2 linked regions of the Alligator mississippiensis genome follow. The protein of the gene in region 1 purifies or fractionates together with the protein of each later gene. This does not show direct contact. Links are inferred from orthologs where the notes say so. Each region holds a gene or a part of one and is shown in the gene's direction. Other genes may lie near its edges.

Region 1 (8,383 bases):
GGAGCTCATTTGAGTCGGGTGTCGCAACTCCCAGAGCCAAAGCTTGGCCCCATTTGATGGGGGTGTTGCCCTGACACCAGTGCCAGGGGTGGGAGAGGTGGCCGTGACACCTGGGGAGGCTGAGGCCAGCTCAAACTAGTGCCAGGGTCTGCGGACAAAGGGAGAGTGAGCTCAGTGCCAACATTTACAGAAATACCCAGATTTTTGGTGTCACGTGTTCTGCACGAAGCCCACGCAGCCTGGGCTGCGAGCACAGCGGAAGATGGGCAGCGTCGCGGTTAAGGACGAGGCTTGCTCGTGGCTCAAAGGCCAGTTTTTCTTAGTGCAGCCATTTAGATGTTCCTGAAAACCGCTCTGCCTTGCGAGGCTCTGCAGCCAGGCTAGCAAGTCAGACAGGGCCTTCTCGCGCACGGCTCCCCGTCCTGCCAAGCCAGGTGCCATCATAGAAGAGCCACGTCGCTTTTTGGTGCACAGTGTGGGTGGATGCAGGATTTTGAACAGTGGGGTGTGACGCACGTTTGTGTCTAGTTAAAGAAAAACTAGAGGCTTAACTAAGATGAATATACCTCCTCTGCTCGCACTTGTAGGGAGGCAGTTAGGCGGGCCAAGGCTACCATGGAGCTGAGGATGGCAACCCAAGTAAAGGACAACAAGAAATTGTTTTTTAGATACATAGGGAGTAAAAGGAAGGCCCAGGGAGGAATAGGACTGCTGCTAAATGGGCAGAAGCAATTGGTGACAGACAGGGGGGACAAGGCTGAACTCCTCAACGAGGTCTTTGCCTCAGTGTCCCTAAGCGAGGGGCACGACAAGTCTCTCACTGGGGTTGCAGAGAGGCAGCAGCAAGGCGCCAGACTGCCATGCGTAGACCCTGAGATGGTGCAGAGTCACTTGGAAGAACTGGATGCCTTTAAGTCGGCAGGCCCAGATGGGCTCCATCCGAGGGTGCTGAAGGCACTGGCCGACATCACTGCAGAGCCACTGGCGGGAATATTCGAACGCTCATGGCGCACGGGCCAAGTCCCGGAGGACTGGAAAAGGGCTAACGTGGTCCCCATTTTCAAGAAGGGGAGGAAGGAGGACCCGGGCAACTATAGGCCGGTCAGTCTCACCTCCATCCTAGGCAAAGTCTTTGAAAAAATTATCAAGGCTCACATTTGTGAGAGCCCGGCAGGGCAGATTATGCTGAGGGGAAACCAGCACGGGTTTGTGGCGGGCAGATCGTGCCTGACCAACCTAGTCTCTTTCTATGACCAGGTTACGAAACGCCTGGACACAGGAGGAGGGGTGGATGTTGTATACTTAGACTTCAGGAAGGCCTTCGATACGGTATCCCACCCCATACTGGTGAACAAGTTAAGAGGCTGTGACGTGGATGACTGCACGGTCCGGTGGGTGGCGAATTGGCTAGAGGGTTGCACCCAGAGAGTCGTGGTAGATGGGTCGGTCTCGACCTGGAAGGGTGTGGGCAGTGGGGTCCCGCAGGGCTCGGTCCTTGGACCGATACTCTTTAATGTCTTCATCAGCGACTTGGACGAGGGAGTCAAATGTACTCTGTCCAAGTTTGCAGACGACACAAAGCTATGGGGAGAAGTGGACACGCCGGAGGGCAGGGAACAGCTGCAGGCAGACCTGGATAGGCTGGACAAGTGGGCAGAAAACAACAGGATGCAGTTCAACAAGGAGAAATGCAAAGTGCTGCACCTAGGGAGGAAAAATGTCCAGCACACCTACAGCCTAGGGAATGACCTGCTGGGTGGCACAGAGGTGGAGAGGGATCTTGGAGTCCTGGTGGACTCCAAGATGAACATGAGCCAGCAGTGTGACGAAGCCATCAGAAAAGCCAATGGCACTTTATCGTGCATCAGCAGATGCATGACGAATAGGTCCAAGGAGGTGATACTTCCCCTCTATCGGGCGCTGGTCAGACCGCAGTTGGAGTACTGCGTGCAGTTCTGGGCACCACACTTCAAGAAGGATGCGGATAACCTGGAGAGGGTCCAGAGAAGGGCCACTCGTATGGTTAAGGGCCTGCAGACCAAGCCCTACGAGGAGAGACTAGAGAAACTGGACCTTTTCAGCCTCCGCAAGAGAAGGGTGAGAGGCGACCTTGTGGCTGCCTATAAGTTCATCATGGGGGCACAGAAGGGAATTGGTGAGGTTTTATTCACCAAGGCGCCCCTGGGGGTTACAAGAAATAATGGCCACAAGCTAGCAGACAGCAGATTTAGATTGGACATTAGGAAGAACTTCTTCACAGTTCGAGTGGCCAAGGTCTGGAACAGGCTCCCAAGGGAGGTGGTGCTCTCCCCTACCCTGGGGGTCTTCAAGAGGAGGTTAGATGAGTATCTAGCTGGGGTCATCTAGACCCAGCACTCTTTCCTGCTTATGCAGGGGGTCGGACTTGATGATCTATTGAGGTCCCTTCCGACCCTAACATCTATGAATCTATGAAGATGCCAGGGACCTAGCACTGTGTTATTCTGTTTAAGATTAAAGCAAAAACAAATGTCATTTTTCCATGATTTAAATGAAACACCACTAATATATAGGTAGCTATATATTAGTGGTGTTTCATTTAAATCATGGAAAAAATGTTGATTTGGGGGTTGGTTTTTTAACCGAAAATGGGGGATTTTTTTTAAATCAGTGAAAACCAGGATCCCTGGTCATTAGTCTTGTAGCTTTTATAGTTAAATATGCATTTCTTACCCAGATTTGTAAAACAACATGTAGTATCCCTGAGCATCTTAACATCGTCTCCAGTACTTCACTGTGTCAGTCATTTCTAGACAAGTCAATCGCACTACCTCTGAGTTAAAATTTTCAGCTTGAACTAAAAACAGCCTACAGGGCTGCAAAATGGGAGAGAAGTTCCAGGAATGGCTAACAGGCATCAGTGCTGCAGAAGGAAGGAGAGTTTGAATAGTGAAACCTCAGGACTGTTCACAGGGAGAGAGTGGTTCACACCTGTGGAATGAAGAGCTATTAGGAGAGTATAATGGGCCATGAAGTCAGTTGATTCCCTCAGCTCTGCCAGAGGAGAAATGCCTCTGAGCTACCTGCAGCTACAGCCCTCCCCGGCCTTGCATCAGTGGAGGCAGGCTGGGCTCACTTAGTCCAGAGGCAGCTCAGATGCAGCCCCCTCTGCCCAAGGAAGTGACTGGGGAAAGCGCCACTCTGTGCCACGTACGTGCTCTGGGAGCCCAGCACGATGGTGCTGCCAGATGGGACAGGGAGGCTGGTCTCTGAGGTCATTTGATTTAGTGGTTCTCGGCCTTCTGCTATGATCAAGTATGACTGGGGGCATCCGATCCCCAGGCCTCCTGGCTCAGGACTTGTCTGTAGCTTGGCCACCTGGATACGGGGAACATCTAGACTCCCAGGTCTATGGGTCTGGGGGAGGTTGTCAGTGGGTGGCCCATGGATCTTTGCAGACAGTTACTGAGACGCAGAACTGAATTGGCACTTGGATTAGATTAAGAACTGGATTCATTTGCCCCCCCCTCCCCCCCCCGACACACACATTACACAAGGTCTCTGATGCAGGCGCCTGGTGCAAGGTTCTGCAGTGTGGTTGCAACCAAGGGGGTGTCAGATCCAGCTTCCTCATTGGGAGTTGATTTTCTGGTCACCTGTGCCTGGTGAGCCAGTCTGGAAGCTGGTCCCCCCTCCATGGGCTGGGTGGGGAGAGTGGGTTGGGGGTGGGAAGGAGGCAGGCCATGCTTCTCAGAGCACCTCCGAGCCTCCCGGGAGATCAGAGCGGCATGTGCTCTCCGCTGCAGAACCTGTGTGTGCCCCTCCCACGCCAGGGAAAGTGGAGGCTGGGGCTCCTTGGCTGGTTACCAGTCAGTGTTTCCAGGTCCCCCGGACTCCACGTGCTGACTCAGGCTGGGGCACTGCCTCGTGGCACCCTTCCCCCATGCCCCGTCCGCCCACCCACCCTCATTCCCAGGCCCTTCTGGCTTCACCGGGGGCTGAGGAACCAGCTGTGCCTTCTAGTCCTGTGCTGCTCTCACCTCTTCCCAAGGCACAGGGGAACTGAGAGCCCAGAGCCTCGGTGAGCGCTGAGCTCGGGTGTTGAGCATGGCTTTGCCCCCCAGGGCAGTCAGGGCACTTGGATCCCAGCACCGGAGCCAGGAGCTCTGCTGCTCTCTGCTGTGCCAGCTCAAGGCAAGAACGGCCTGCCGCGGCTCCCTGGACAGGTATCATGGGCTGCGGCTGCGGTGGGCACGAGGCTGCCCTGACCCCCAGCTGGCTACGTCTGGTGTCTGCTGCCCCAGGGACTGCGGGGCGGCCAGGCGTTCCCAGCCCTGCTGACACGGCCCTGGGGAGACGCCGCCTGCACTGGGCTCCGTCCTGCCGTGCTCGCAAGGGCCCACCGCTCAGCCCAGGGCACAGCCTGTGTGTGCCCCGTGCCCGTGTCCGTGTCCGGGCTCGGCTGCCCCATGCCCTGCCCAGGGCCAGGGCACAGCTGCCCCGCTCCCCGGCGTTCAGGAGCTCCGGCCCGGAGCCCCCGGCCCCGGCGGCCGTGCATCGGGCTCCGGTTCCCCTGGCGCGGGGGCGCGAGGCTGCGGCGGCCCCCCGGGCGCGGGGCTTTCCCCGCCGGGCGATGAGCTCAGCGCGGGGCGCAGCCAATGGCAGCGGCGGCGGAGCCGGGGATTTCCAGCGCCGCCGCCTCCGCGCTGCCCCCGGCGCGGCCCGGCGCGGCCCGGCCCGGCTCGGCGCGGCACGGCGCGGCGCGGCGCGGCTCGGGAGGCGATGCGGCAGCCCCGGGGGCGGCAGCAGCGGCGGGAGCGGGGGCCTCTGCCGCCAGGTGAGGCGCGGGGCCGCTGGGCGGCGGGCGCGGGGCCGCCCCGGGCAGGCGCGGGGTAACGGGCCTCGTGTCTCCGCAGGAGCCGCCGCCCCGGACCGCGGCCCGGCCATGGCGCAGGCGTCGCACGCGGACGGTGAGGGCCGGGGGCTCCGCTTCGCGCCGCGCCGCGCGGCCCCGTTTCACAGCAGGGGGGACTGAGGCAGGCAGCTCCCGGGGCGGAGGAGCTTTTGCTCCGGGGCCGCGGGCATCTCGGGCCCTCTGCATGCCCCCTGGCCCCCGCAGCAGAGGGATCCTGGGGGCTTCCTGCGCTGCCCCACGACAGCCTCAGCCCCCGTCCCCAGGAGCTCTCCCAGAGCAGGGGCAGCGCCGGGCGCTGGGCTTGGTGCCCGGGGGCTCCTGCCAGCCCTGGGTCCTGGCGGGTGGCTGGGCTCCTGGGCAGGGGGAGGGAGAGCAGCCGCCTGCGCCAAACTAGAGCCAGCCTCTCCTTTCTCTTCTGCAGAGGATTTAGGTGAGTGACCTCTGGGCGTGGGGGTGCGGCAGGAGCAGGTACGTGCAGCCCTGGGGCTTGCCAGGGCGGTCGCAGCCTGCGGGACCCGCTGGCTGGCGTGACGGTGACAGGGGACGGCGGTGCAGTCTGTGGGGTCGGGGCAGCTTCCAGCCCCTGCGCCCCCCTGCCCAGAGCCCAGGCCAGGGGACCCGTAGGTGCTGCCAGCTGCTGCAAGGCCATGGAGACGGGAGAAGCTTGCCGGCCCCCGCGGAGCCCTGGGGTCTGGGCAGGAGTGATTCCCCCGATGCGGCTCCACCTCTGCCTTCGGGCCTGTCCTCTTGGTGCCATGATGCAGGAGCTGGGCTGGGGCAGAGGAGCCCTACCCTAGGCAGACACGGAGCAAAGGCCACTCGCTGGCTGCCGCAGGTGCTGGCAGCGCCCTTTGCTGGGCGCTCGGGGAAGCGAGGCTGTGCCCAGCCCCTGCCCCTTCTCCTTCCACATCCACCTGGCAGCAGAAGCCTTGGCCGACTCAGCCTGGCTCCCCTGGGCTGGGTATGCCCTTGCCTGCAGTTCAGGCCAGCGACCCTGGCGCGCAGTTACTGACTGCTGTCGCAGGGCTTCATCTACACTAGGGGAGGAGTGTCCTGCTGGGAGGTGTTGGGTGGGGCCCGGGACTACTTCTAGCAGTGCCCTGGGCATGCCCATGCTGCAGCAGCCAGGCTGGAAGATGCCCCCCTCCCTCCCTCCCTGAGATTGAGTCCCTGGATCAGCTCCCCTGCTGCAGGGGCTGGGTGGTGCTGGAGCTCAGGCCAGCGGCTTTGCCCACATCTGTTACCTGGCAGCAGGCACGTGCCGGGAGGAAGGCGGGCATTGTGGCAGTGTGTGCAGGGCAGGGCTCAGAGGCCAGGGTGGGCAGCCCTGTGCATGGCTGTGGCTGGCAGAGGGCTCCTGCCACCACATCCCAATGCTGCCTGTGACTCGTGCCAACCCCTGGCTGCTCCCGCTGCCCCCGGGCAAGTCTCTGCAGCTGTGCCCTGATGGTGCCCCCCCCACCACAGAGATCATTGAGGAGCTGATGAAGGAGGATGGATTCCAGCCGGATGCCCCGTCCTTCCTGCCCAGGCCTATGCCCAAGGGCCCGGCCAAGTTGGTGCCCCGGGGCTCGAGCCCCATGGTGCCCACGAGATCGCTGCGCCACTCACAGCCTCTGGGGTCCGGCTCGCTGCCAGGGACTCTGGGGCCCTTTGGAGACTCCCCCCTGCTGCCACCTGTCTCCCGGGGCCCCCAGCTCACCCAGAGCCTGGGCAACCTGACGCTGTCGCCGAGGCTGGTGCCACGGGGGACGCCGCTCCCGTCCACCGCCGCGCCCGCCCAGCACCACTGGTCCATGCCCACGGCCAAGGAGCAGCTGGAGGACATGCTGGAGCCGCCCAAGCTGGTGATCACAGAGCAGCCGAAGCAGCGGGGCATGCGCTTCCGCTATGAGTGTGAGGGCCGGTCAGCTGGCAGCATCCTGGGCGAGAGTAGCACTGAGGCCAGCAAGACCCTGCCAGCCATCGAGGTGAGGAGGGGGCAGGGCACTGGGCAGGGGCCCTGTGCTCACCCCCTGCCCCCAATAGCTCCTGCTGGACAGCCAGGCAGGCCTGGCTGGGTTACCCCTCCTCCCCTCCCACCCCCACGATGGGGTAGGACCCTGGACCCAGGCACCATCACATCTCCCCCAGCCAGGGGCAAGTGTGGGGGCACCTCTGGACCCTGTGCTCCACTTTCTCGTACAATGAGAACTGGACTTCCCGCTGGAACAGGGCTGAGCTGTTTGGCCTGGCCTGGCCGCAGGGGACCCAACCTGCCCTGGGAGAGGGGCTGGGAGCCCCCTGTCCAGGGTGGGGGCCTGGTTTCTCTCCCTGTTATCCCTGTATCAGCCTCCCCCACCCCATCCCCCTGCAATGAGCCTCTGGCGTCTCCCCAGTTGCTGAACTGCCAGAAGATCCCAGAGGTGAAGGTGACGGCCTGCCTGGTGTGGAAGGACTGGCCGTTCCGTATCCACCCCCACGGCCTTGTGGGCAAGGACTGCAGCAATGGGCTCTGCGAGGTCACCCTCAAGCCCCAGACCAACCCCAAGCACAGGTACCAGCCGCGCAGCCCTGGGGGTTGGGAGACTCCTCCACATGGCCCCGTCCCGGGGGTGGCCTAGGCTCGGTATCTGGGGCCCTTGGACAGTCGTGGCCTGACAGCGATTTCCCAGTGCTGTGGCTTCTTCCTCGCTGTTCCCTGCCCTTGGGCTAGAACGGAGCCCCTGGCACCCCAGCCCCTGTCTGCTGGAGGAGCCGGAGCTGCGGTGCCCCGGGCTCCGTCCCGCTGGCTGGGGACCAAGCACCTCCCAGGAGCTGCTGCCAGGGGTTGGGGTGGGAGAGCCAGGTGGTTCGGGGTCCTGGCCCTGGGACCAGAGCAGCCCCTCCTAGGTTGCAGCCTAGGGGCACACACCAAGCCAGGGGGCCCCATGCGGAGGTGGAGGCCTGTCCAGGCAGGGCAGAGGCATGGGTACAGGGTCGGAGGGGCCTGGGGGTGTCCCCGTGAGGCCTTGGTGGGCTCCCAGATCCCCTCAGAGCTCCTCCCACCTGGCCTCTCAGCTGGCTGCCATGTGGGGAAGGTGAAGGGGCCCTGTGGAGCTGGGGCCAGGCAGAAGGTGGGGACTGGGCATCCCCGTGTCTCTCTCTGGGCCTGGGAGAGCTCTGAAGGAGGCAGAGGGATCGGAGGAGGAGCCCCAGGGGGAACCATGCTCAGTAGTGGCTGGACCAGTGGGGCCAGGGCTGGGGCTGGCATGGCCCCTGGGTGCTACATGGCAGCACCCCATGCAGTGGTGCCCCCTCCGTGGCTGAGGGCAGGGAAGGAGGGCAGCTCATGAGCACAACGGAGCTTGGCCAGCCTCCAGCCCATGCCCTCTTGGCCCTGGCAGCTTCAGCAATCTCGGCATCCAGTGTGTGAAGAAGAAGGAGATCGAGGGAGCCATCGAGAAGAAGCTACAGCTGGGCATCGACCCCTTCAAAGGTGGGTGACCCGGGGGGGGGGGGGGGGGGCAC
Region 2 (8,761 bases), on another chromosome or scaffold:
GTTCATTCAGTGTCACTCATTGGTGCTAAACTCTCTAAGAAATCAGTCCAGGGCAGGGTTCACTGAGCTGGCCTAGAAGCTATGCCTTTGATTCCCATTGCAATTATCACTGGGGCACATCTTGGAGCTTAGCTGGATCTCTGTGCCCTTTTCTGCCACTAGGCATGCAACACAGGAAACATCAGCCCCTGTCAGACAACACTATGTTCCAGCAGTGCACTGAAATCAGTCATGGTGGGGCTAGAATACTATATGAGGGAAATGCACAACTTGAGGTTACTTAGGAGGTAACTTACAGGTGACTAGTGCCAATGTCCCATTTCCCACAAGATAAACGATTATCATGGAAATTCTTGGGGTGGGTGAAGGTCACCTTTCTGCCTTTACTAACCCTCTTACAGCCTCCTAGATATGATTCTCCCCCCACCCTCCTGCCCCCAAGCCTCTTGAAAAGATTCACTCATATCCGGGGAATGGAAGCCACCTACTGGAATGCAGAGATGCTCAGGACGCACAATTCATGGGCATCGGGGATGGGTATTCCCTGAAGGACATGTGCCTGTACTACTGACTGCAGCTGAAAAAGATTGGGAGGGCTGGTTCCTGCATCACATCAGGAAGGACATGGCATGTTTTCAGAGTTGCCTGTTCTTCCCCTACTGTCAGGTGTTTCCTGAGGGACTTTTCAGGGACTTCTACTGATGTGCTAATATGAAGGAGCCTGCACAGGACACTCTCTCAGGAGGACCTCAGATCCAGGATTGAGTTAAGAAGGTTGTATTCTAGATCTGGGACATGAAGATTATTTAACCTTGCACCAGAGGGGATAGGAGGGTCAGCCACGGGTACTTTAGGGCAGACCCAGACTCTGAAGAAACAGAATCTAAAGCAGGGACACTGACATAGTGAGATGAATCACATGAGCAAGAGGAAAACTTGTGACTGAAAGTTACTGATGGTACCACCAGCTTCCGGAGTCTGCCCGCTGACCTCCACTAATATGTGGTCACTGTTTTCTTGTTTAGCTTGCACACAGCAAGGGCTCTGGGTAAATGCCTGAATGGCTGATGTGAGCAGCTATGACGCACGCTCATGCCATCTCATAGCAACAGACATAGCAATGCAAGGGGAAGTTGAGTTTTGCATACAGTCTGATCTGTATTGGCTTCCTTAGCACTGATCCCCAAAGGAGTAAGGTGCTTCTCAAATCAGCTGGCAAAGGGACTAAAGACATGCCTGGTGGAATTATCAGCTCTCCCAGGCACACCCTCTTATTGGAAAGATCTGTCTTCAGGCCCTTGAAAAGTGAAAACCTCCAGGAAGAGAAGTGCCTTGAGGGCTTCAAGAGAAAATAACTAGGAGTGACATGGGATTGCTGGGCAAAAGGAGACAGGGCTGAACCTCCAGAGAAGTGTTCCGGTAACAAGGTCTGCTACTAGACTTTCCCTGTGCTTGCTTGGGACAGTGGAAATGTAACTGGACTTGATCATGACAAATCTGTTGTACAGATCAGTCACGTTTGCAGTGAGGATGATGGCCTAGATTAGATTTGTGAGTTCTCATTTATAGCTAAGCTGAAGCTGGAGAGTAAGAGGTAGTGGACATAGCTCCTGTTTGGGCTCAAGAACTCCCACACGTTGTTTTCTCCCAAGCTGTAGGGGGGCCAGTGGCAGAGCAGGTGATGTATCCTGCTGACTCAAGTGGTGTGAGTTTCTCTCTGAACTCATGCAAAAGGCTGCTCCCCACTTGGCTTGGCCATGAATGAATACCTGGTCACTTGGCCTGGGGAATCAAGGGTGGTAAGATGTGCTGTCAGCTATACCAATCTTTGTGTGCCATTGGCCCCAGAAGCTGGTGTGCTGTAATCATGCTAGCTCAGTGGGCTGCTAGGGTTAGGGAAACCTTTGATAATTTTTTATTAGTGAGCCACATGACCTTGGGTGAGTCAGTTCACCCCTCCGTGTCATAGCCTCCAACAAATAATGACATAAAGCTGAAGAAGGATTTGCTGCAGTTCCCTATATTAAAGCTTTCCTGATACCTCCCTCTGTAGGTAAAGCAAAGTTCTTAAATCATGTATTCAGTTTAGTTTTTCTCCACCCACCAGGGTTCAGTCAGTACCTGTGTATGTCACAGTCAAGTCACAACTCTGCTGGGCCTGGCAAGATCCTTCTCACTCCCACAGCAAACTTGCCTGATATTTAAAGAACCGACAATAATAAACAGAGGCAAGTGTCAGATCCTGAACAAATGTAATCCAGGGGAGGAAATGATCACTCAGAAACACCACATAGAGCATGTGTCTGGCACACACAGCCACATTGGGATACAGTCCTTGTTGCTCATGCTCACATAGACAGACCCCGCCAGAAGCAGGAAAAATTGCAGACGAGTTTCTTTTTAAGCTTGCCCGGTGGAGTCTATGGAATCCACCAGGTTCCAAGTTGGTTATGGCTGGTATAAAACACTATGTGGTTCAGTGTAAATTACTATCAGTAACAACACACATAATCATAGAAAAGCAGGGCTGCAAGAGGCCTTCAGAGGTCATCTAGTGAGTCCAACTCCCTGCCTGAGGCAGGATCATTCCTATCCAAACTATCCATTGTCTAACCCAGTGGGTTTTAACCTTTTTTAAACTGAAGGCACCTCTAGTTTAGCTCAAGGCATCCCTCTTAGACTCGAGGCCCCCCTTGGAAAATGCCAGCTCTTACTTTTCACTAATTTTTTGACTACAGGAAAACAACAGAGCAATTCTTTTGTTGCAAAGACCTCTCAGAAGGACCCAAACTGGTCAAAATGGTTTTAACACTCTGGATTCCTATTTTAAATCTCTGGGTTTATCCTGTGCATCACGTGTGCTCACCTGACAGGGCTAACATCATGTGGCATCCCATGGCACCCTTGAAAGGGTCTCAAGGCACCGCAGGGTGCTGTGGCACCTTGGTTGAGAATCCAGCAGTTCCCAAACTCTGACAGTTGCACACCACCAATTTTAAACAATACAGCCTTAAGTACCACCAGCAAATTTTTCAGTCCAACCTTAAGTACCACCAGCAATTTTTTGTCATATAAAGTAATTATAATAAATCTGTTAATGTGTACCACTGCCAGGTTGCCTGCATACCACTGGTGGTATCCGTACCACAGATTGGGAACCACCTATTAGCAAAACTAGCTGGTTCACCCCAACACAACCACAAGACATAGCAACCCAACCTGTCACAGGCAGGGGTAGATTAAAAGGGGTGCACTTGCACCCCCTTTTATTCCTGCCCCCCTCCAAAGTTTAAAACCAACTGCCTGGCAGTGGTAGCAGCATTCCTAGTCAGGTGGCACTGAGGGAGTCAATTGACTTCATGGTTCATTATAATCTACAGATGGGTTCTTAGATGGGATGGGGGAACCCTTCATTCCACCAGTGTTAATGACTCCCTCTTTTTTATAATGGTCTTGATGTTTCATCAATCAAGCTATCCTTTGTTCTGCAATGCTGTTGTCTGTTCACTGCTCCTAGGGAGGATGCTCTTATTTCACAGCCCTGCAGATCTTAACTCCTTCCAGTGAGGTCCCATTTGTTTTTGCTTCCATCTTCAACTGCATAATACAGGCCTGGACCCTAGCCTATCAGTAAAGCTTCTAGTTTCTTTATAACTGGAGCAAAATATGTATTGTGTTATGGGAGTTGATGCCTCTCACCACTTGCACCCCACTTTTCAAAATCCTAGATCTACTCATGCTCACAGATAAAGCAGGGGGATTGTGGCAGGCACCATCCTGCTGCTGCCAGGGGGTGTTAAAATACCTTCCAGAGCTCCAAGGAAAGGGCCACATCCTCCTCAGGTGCCAGCTAAGGAAACACCTGGTTAGCTAGTCCCCTCCTGAATGAAACCAGAGCAATACACCTGACCAGGAAGGAGGCTCTGGTGAGGGGGAATCCCTGAGGACTGCAGAGCCGTTTTCCTGTCCCTGATCTGTTTATATCTCTGGGCAGTTTCACTGGGGTGTGTCCACTGGCTCCTTGGACTTGTTTGGGGGACAGTGGGTGCTGGCTGGTGTGTACTGCTCTACATACCCCACTGGTGCACCACTCATCATGAACCTGTGCCCTCGCTCCCATCCCTGTCTTGTTTTTCATTTGCCCCAAGGAATCTGTTGGTGTGCCCACTGACCTCCCTTAGCAAGGGAGGCTCATAAATTGCCTTGGTAGGCCTAGGTTCATGTTCTCTGGCTCATCAAACAGGCCCATCTCTGAGCAGTTTCACTGGGCAGCATCCACCGGCTCCTTGGATGCACTGGGGAGCCAGCAGGTGCTGGCTGGTTGATGTGCTCTGCTTTGAGTCTCCTCTTGGTGCACTCATCATGAACCTGTGCCTTCACTCCCGTCCCTGTTTTGTTTTCCATTTGTCTCAAGGAATCTGTTGCTGTGCCCAGTGGCCTCCAGTGGCCATTGTTTGCCTTGGCAGGCCTAGGCCCATGTTCCCTGGCTCATCATCAAACAGGCCTGTCTCCAGGCCGAGTTTCACTGAGCAGCATCCACTGGCTCCTTGGACACATTTGAGGGCTAGTGGGTGCTGCCAAGTGTGTTCTGCTCCATGTCCTCCTTTGGCACCCTCATTTTAAAACTTTGACCGCCCTTTCCCTCCCTGTTCTGCCTGTCATGCATCCCAAACACTCACTGATGTGCTCTTAATGACCCCCCTTCTTAAGGGGGTGCTTTTCAGCTTTACTTGCTGGGCCTAGACTCACATTTCCTGGCTCATCAAACAAGCCCGTCTGTGGGGAGTTTCACTAGGGTTGCCAACTCTGTTCGAATCTATTCCGGACAGTTTCAGGCACACCAACGACTGCAACACAACGCCAATGACCTGCGCGCAGGCACTGATCAGTTCTGGATTAGGGTGCTTAGGCTTTACGTCAGGGCGGCAAACGTGCACTACCATGACATTTAAAAACCCGCTGGACTACTGTATAAATCGGATTCGACCCATCGTATTAATTTGAACGAACGCCCTATCGTTTCTCTCCAGGTGACTCTCAGCAGTGTCCTGGAGATTTCTCTCTGATTCATCCCTGGAGACTCAGGGAGGGTTGGCAACCCTCCGTTGCCCGGAGCAGCGTCCACCAGCTCCTCAGAGGCAGCGAGGAGCCAGCCCAGCCCCGCGCCGCGCCTCCCCGGGCGGGGCGGGGCGGAGCCGGGGGAATCCCGGGCGGCGGTGACTCAGGCCCGAAGGAGGAGCCGGGGGTGCAGCTCGGCCGCTGCCAGCCATGAGTGCCCCGCCGGGCTCCCGGGCTGGGGCCGGGCTGCTGTGAGCCGTGCGCCGCACCATGTCGCGGGCCGAGGGCTGCAAGGGGCCGGCGGAGGCCGAGGAGGGGCAGTGCGACTCGGGCATCGACTCGCTGCGCTCGCTGCGCTCGCTGCCCGCCGCGGGGCCCCGGGACGAGCCGCGCGGCCCTGGCAAGGAGGCACTGGAAGCCGAGGAGCGCGTGGACTCCAGCTACGGCTCCGCCTCGCTCACCGAGCCCCTGTCCGCCCTCGCGCCGCCGCCGCAGCCCGAGGAGCGCGGCGCCCTGCACGGCCTGAGCCACCAGCAGCTGGAGGCGCTCGCCTACATCTCGGAGGATGGAGACACGTGAGTGCCGCGGCTTGGCAGACAGCGCGGCCACGGCCCGGCTGGCACGGGGGACGGGCGGCTGCGGAGGTGGCTCGCTGCCGCCGCCGCCAGCCTCAAGATGGAAAGTTCCCTGGGTTTAGGGGGTCTTTTCTTATTTTTTTTTTCAGATGGGTCCCCTCCCCAGGAGTAACTGGTGGCCAGGCAGGAAAGGTCCCATCCTCTGGTCCATGGACCGCCAAACCAGGCAGGAAAGATTCTCTTCCTTGGCCCATAGATCTCCATGCCGGGTCATAGCTAGTGACCACGGAGCAAAGGTTCATTCTGATCCCTGGTTCATAGACCTTGGTCCTTAGGTCTCCCCAAACCAGGCTGCAGGTGGTGACCAGGCAGGAAAGATTCCCCCCCCCCCCCCCTTATATCTCTATGCAGGTTTGTAGCTAGTGACCACAGGGGAAAGGTCCCATGGACCCCTAAGCCAGGCTGCAACTGGTGATCCCTGGTCCATAGACACTCCCAGCAAACAAGGCTGCAACTGGTGACCAGGCAGGAAAGATCTTCCCCCGCCCCGCCCATAGATCTCCACGCCAGTGGTAGCTAGTGACCATGGGGGAAAGGTCCCATCCCTGGTCCATGGACCCCCCAAACCAGGCTGCAACGGGTGACCAGGCAGGAAAGATGCCCTCCCCTGGCCCATAGACCCCCAAGCAGAGTGCAAGTAGTGACCGTGCGGGAAAGGTTCTGTCCCTGCTCTGTACACCCCCCAAGCCAGACTGTAAGTACTGACCATGCAGGTTAGCTCCCATCCCTTAGTCCAGAGACCCCCCTGCCCAAACCAGGCTGTAGCTAATGACTAGGCAGGACATGTTCCACCTCCTGGTACCCCGGGGCCATCATGTTCTCTCTCTCAGGTTTTCAGGGTTTGTTTTTTTTGGTCCTAGTGAAATATGCTGGTCGTTTACCAGGGACTCTACAATTGAGCCAAGTAAACGGAACAAGTGGGGACGGGGGCGGGGGGAAGAAGCCGCTCCAATCCATTTGCCGCTCAGAGTTGCGGGAAATGCAAAGTTGGGGTTCCGGGTGGGGTGAACAGTCAGAGCAATACAGAAACACACATCACAGTGCAAAGTTTGAGTTTCGGCCTATTCAGCGGCTGCCAGGAAAAATGGAAGGTGGCGGGGGGGGTTCTACGTCAAAAGGAAAAAAAATAAGTGTTCTTTTCATCCACCAAAGCACAAAGCTTCATTTGCCAAGTGAATGGCTTGGCTGCATGAGATGATTACCTGAGGAAAATCAGTTATGTAGAGGGGAGCCTAGCTCCCACCTCTTCTGTGGGTTGGAGCCTTGCTAGGGAACAACTACGAGTCTCTTGATGTGGCTGGTTTCTGAATGTAAATCCTCATGTGCAGCTAGCCCGTCTGCTTTGTGGGGTCTATGACCAAAGCAGCGTGAATTTTGATGACTCTGTAACGTAAGTTCCTGAAGAGGCACTGGCCTTATCCTGCATCTCTGCTGCTTCTCTGCTACAGCTTTTGGTGCCTTTTGTCTTTGAGGACCTAATTGCACATCAGTGCGTGGTGCAGACGCACCGTATTGAACCTGTTTGCTTTGGCTTCTGGTAACTGAGTTCAGCTAATTGCTCCTTTTTCCTGTTACCCTTTACCTTGTCAGGATGTTTCCATCACAAAATCAAAGAGCATGTGTATGAGTGTCTTAGCTGCTTGAATAGCTGAAATGTTGGTCCACAGCCTGGATGCAGGCCAGAGTTGAATACAGTACTGAATAATGGTACAGGAGGAAGAGAAACTGGAGGGGGACAGAAGCCACTGAACAAGATGTCTGTAGCAGAGAATCAAAGGTCCTGTTAGCTGCAGAGAGGGAGGATCTTGGGCTCACCCAAGGAGGTGCTTCTTGCTTGATAAAAGCTGGTCTCATCTCAGCTATGTGTTTATTTCCTGGTTGGGAAGAAGGCATGTGCTAATTAGTCCATTCCTGTGTGTTGTGGGACATGCTGAGAAGACTGACAGCCTTGCAGCAAACCTCATCCAAGCCAGGTTAAATGAAACCGTGTCCCCTCCCGCCACCCCCAGCATGGTTCAAGCATTGGTTACTCTTTATTTTCTCATCTGGACATTGTAGCCCACACAGGGAAATTTCCATGCCCGACGTGATCACTTCAGTTGCACTGGCATAACTGCCTGCGTGGATACACTTAAGCAAGATACAACTAAAATGAGTAACTTTCCCTGTAAGGGCAAGCCCCAAGGCCTGTGAGTCTGTGGTGCATTTGGTGACTGCCAGTTTCCCTTCCCCATTGTGTCCCTGGGGTGATTTTGGTTGTAAATGCTTCAATTGATTTGGGGGGGAGGGGTTTGATCCCATCTTTTGTAGGGGTGACTGAGCCAGTTGCTTGTCAAACCAGCTTGTCCAGAGCCTGATCCAAACCTCCCATTAATAGGAGGGGCAAACACATGATCGGGTGTCCTCCAGGTGTTAGGCAGCAAACCACTGAACTCATTTCACTCGGATTCAAATGTCTTCTATGCTGGTTTAGGTCAGCTAAGCTGCCTGCTCTTATCTTCAGACTCCACTGGGTGGTCAGTTTGGGCTAGCTGCTGCTGCCTTTTGCTCCCTCCCATCAGGAGGTGGCTGCGCAGAGGCTCTCCAAATGGCTGCAGCTGCTCTTCTGTTTTTGCTTACTTACAATGCAGTTTAAAACAGGAAATCTAAAGAGTGCGTGGGGGGGACAGGGGATGGAATGGTTGCTACTTATGTAGCCAAAGTGAGGTGGAGTGGGGTAGTTTAATGCTGAGAAGAGGGATGGGGAATCCGCACTTCTGGGTTCTCTTCCCAGCTCTAGGAGTGTTCTAGTGATTCGGGCAGGGAGTCTGCTCTGCCCCGGCCTTCTTCTAGTCCCTTATTTTCCTGTGTGTAAATTGGAACTGATCAAGTCCAACTAACAAATGTTTGTGAAGTGTTTAGACATACAAAAACTAGAACTCTTGGTTCCAAAATGATACCTTTTATTAGACCAATTGGAAAATGGCAAGAAAATTGTCCTTTTCTGCAAGCTTTCAGGATCAAAGTCCCTTCGTCAGGGAAGTGTTTAGAGGCCTTTGGGTGGAAGCAGCAAGTGCACTGCATGGCTA

What was found.
Region 2: the proteins of RELB (region 1) and NFKBIE purify together in Homo sapiens (affinity purification with mass spectrometry; 3 studies listed by BioGRID and IntAct, counting the BioPlex papers as one, with this or other methods). This does not show direct contact. The link is inferred for Alligator mississippiensis from reciprocal best matches to the Homo sapiens genes RELB and NFKBIE.

What each region holds. Positions count from the first base shown.
Region 1 is NC_081838.1:226,566-234,948, forward strand, and holds the start of RELB (transcription factor RelB), read left to right. Parts: upstream 1-4,687; 5' UTR 4,688-4,761; coding exon 4,762-4,816; intron 4,817-4,895; coding exon 4,896-4,949; intron 4,950-5,315; coding exon 5,316-5,324; intron 5,325-6,361; coding exon 6,362-6,864; intron 6,865-7,272; coding exon 7,273-7,430; intron 7,431-8,259; coding exon 8,260-8,351; intron 8,352-8,383.
Region 2 is NC_081824.1:169,791,383-169,800,143, reverse strand, and holds the start of NFKBIE (NF-kappa-B inhibitor epsilon), read left to right. Parts: upstream 1-5,213; 5' UTR 5,214-5,328; coding exon 5,329-5,633; intron 5,634-8,761. UniProt on the Homo sapiens protein: Sequesters NF-kappa-B transcription factor complexes in the cytoplasm, thereby inhibiting their activity. Sequestered complexes include NFKB1-RELA (p50-p65) and NFKB1-REL (p50-c-Rel) complexes.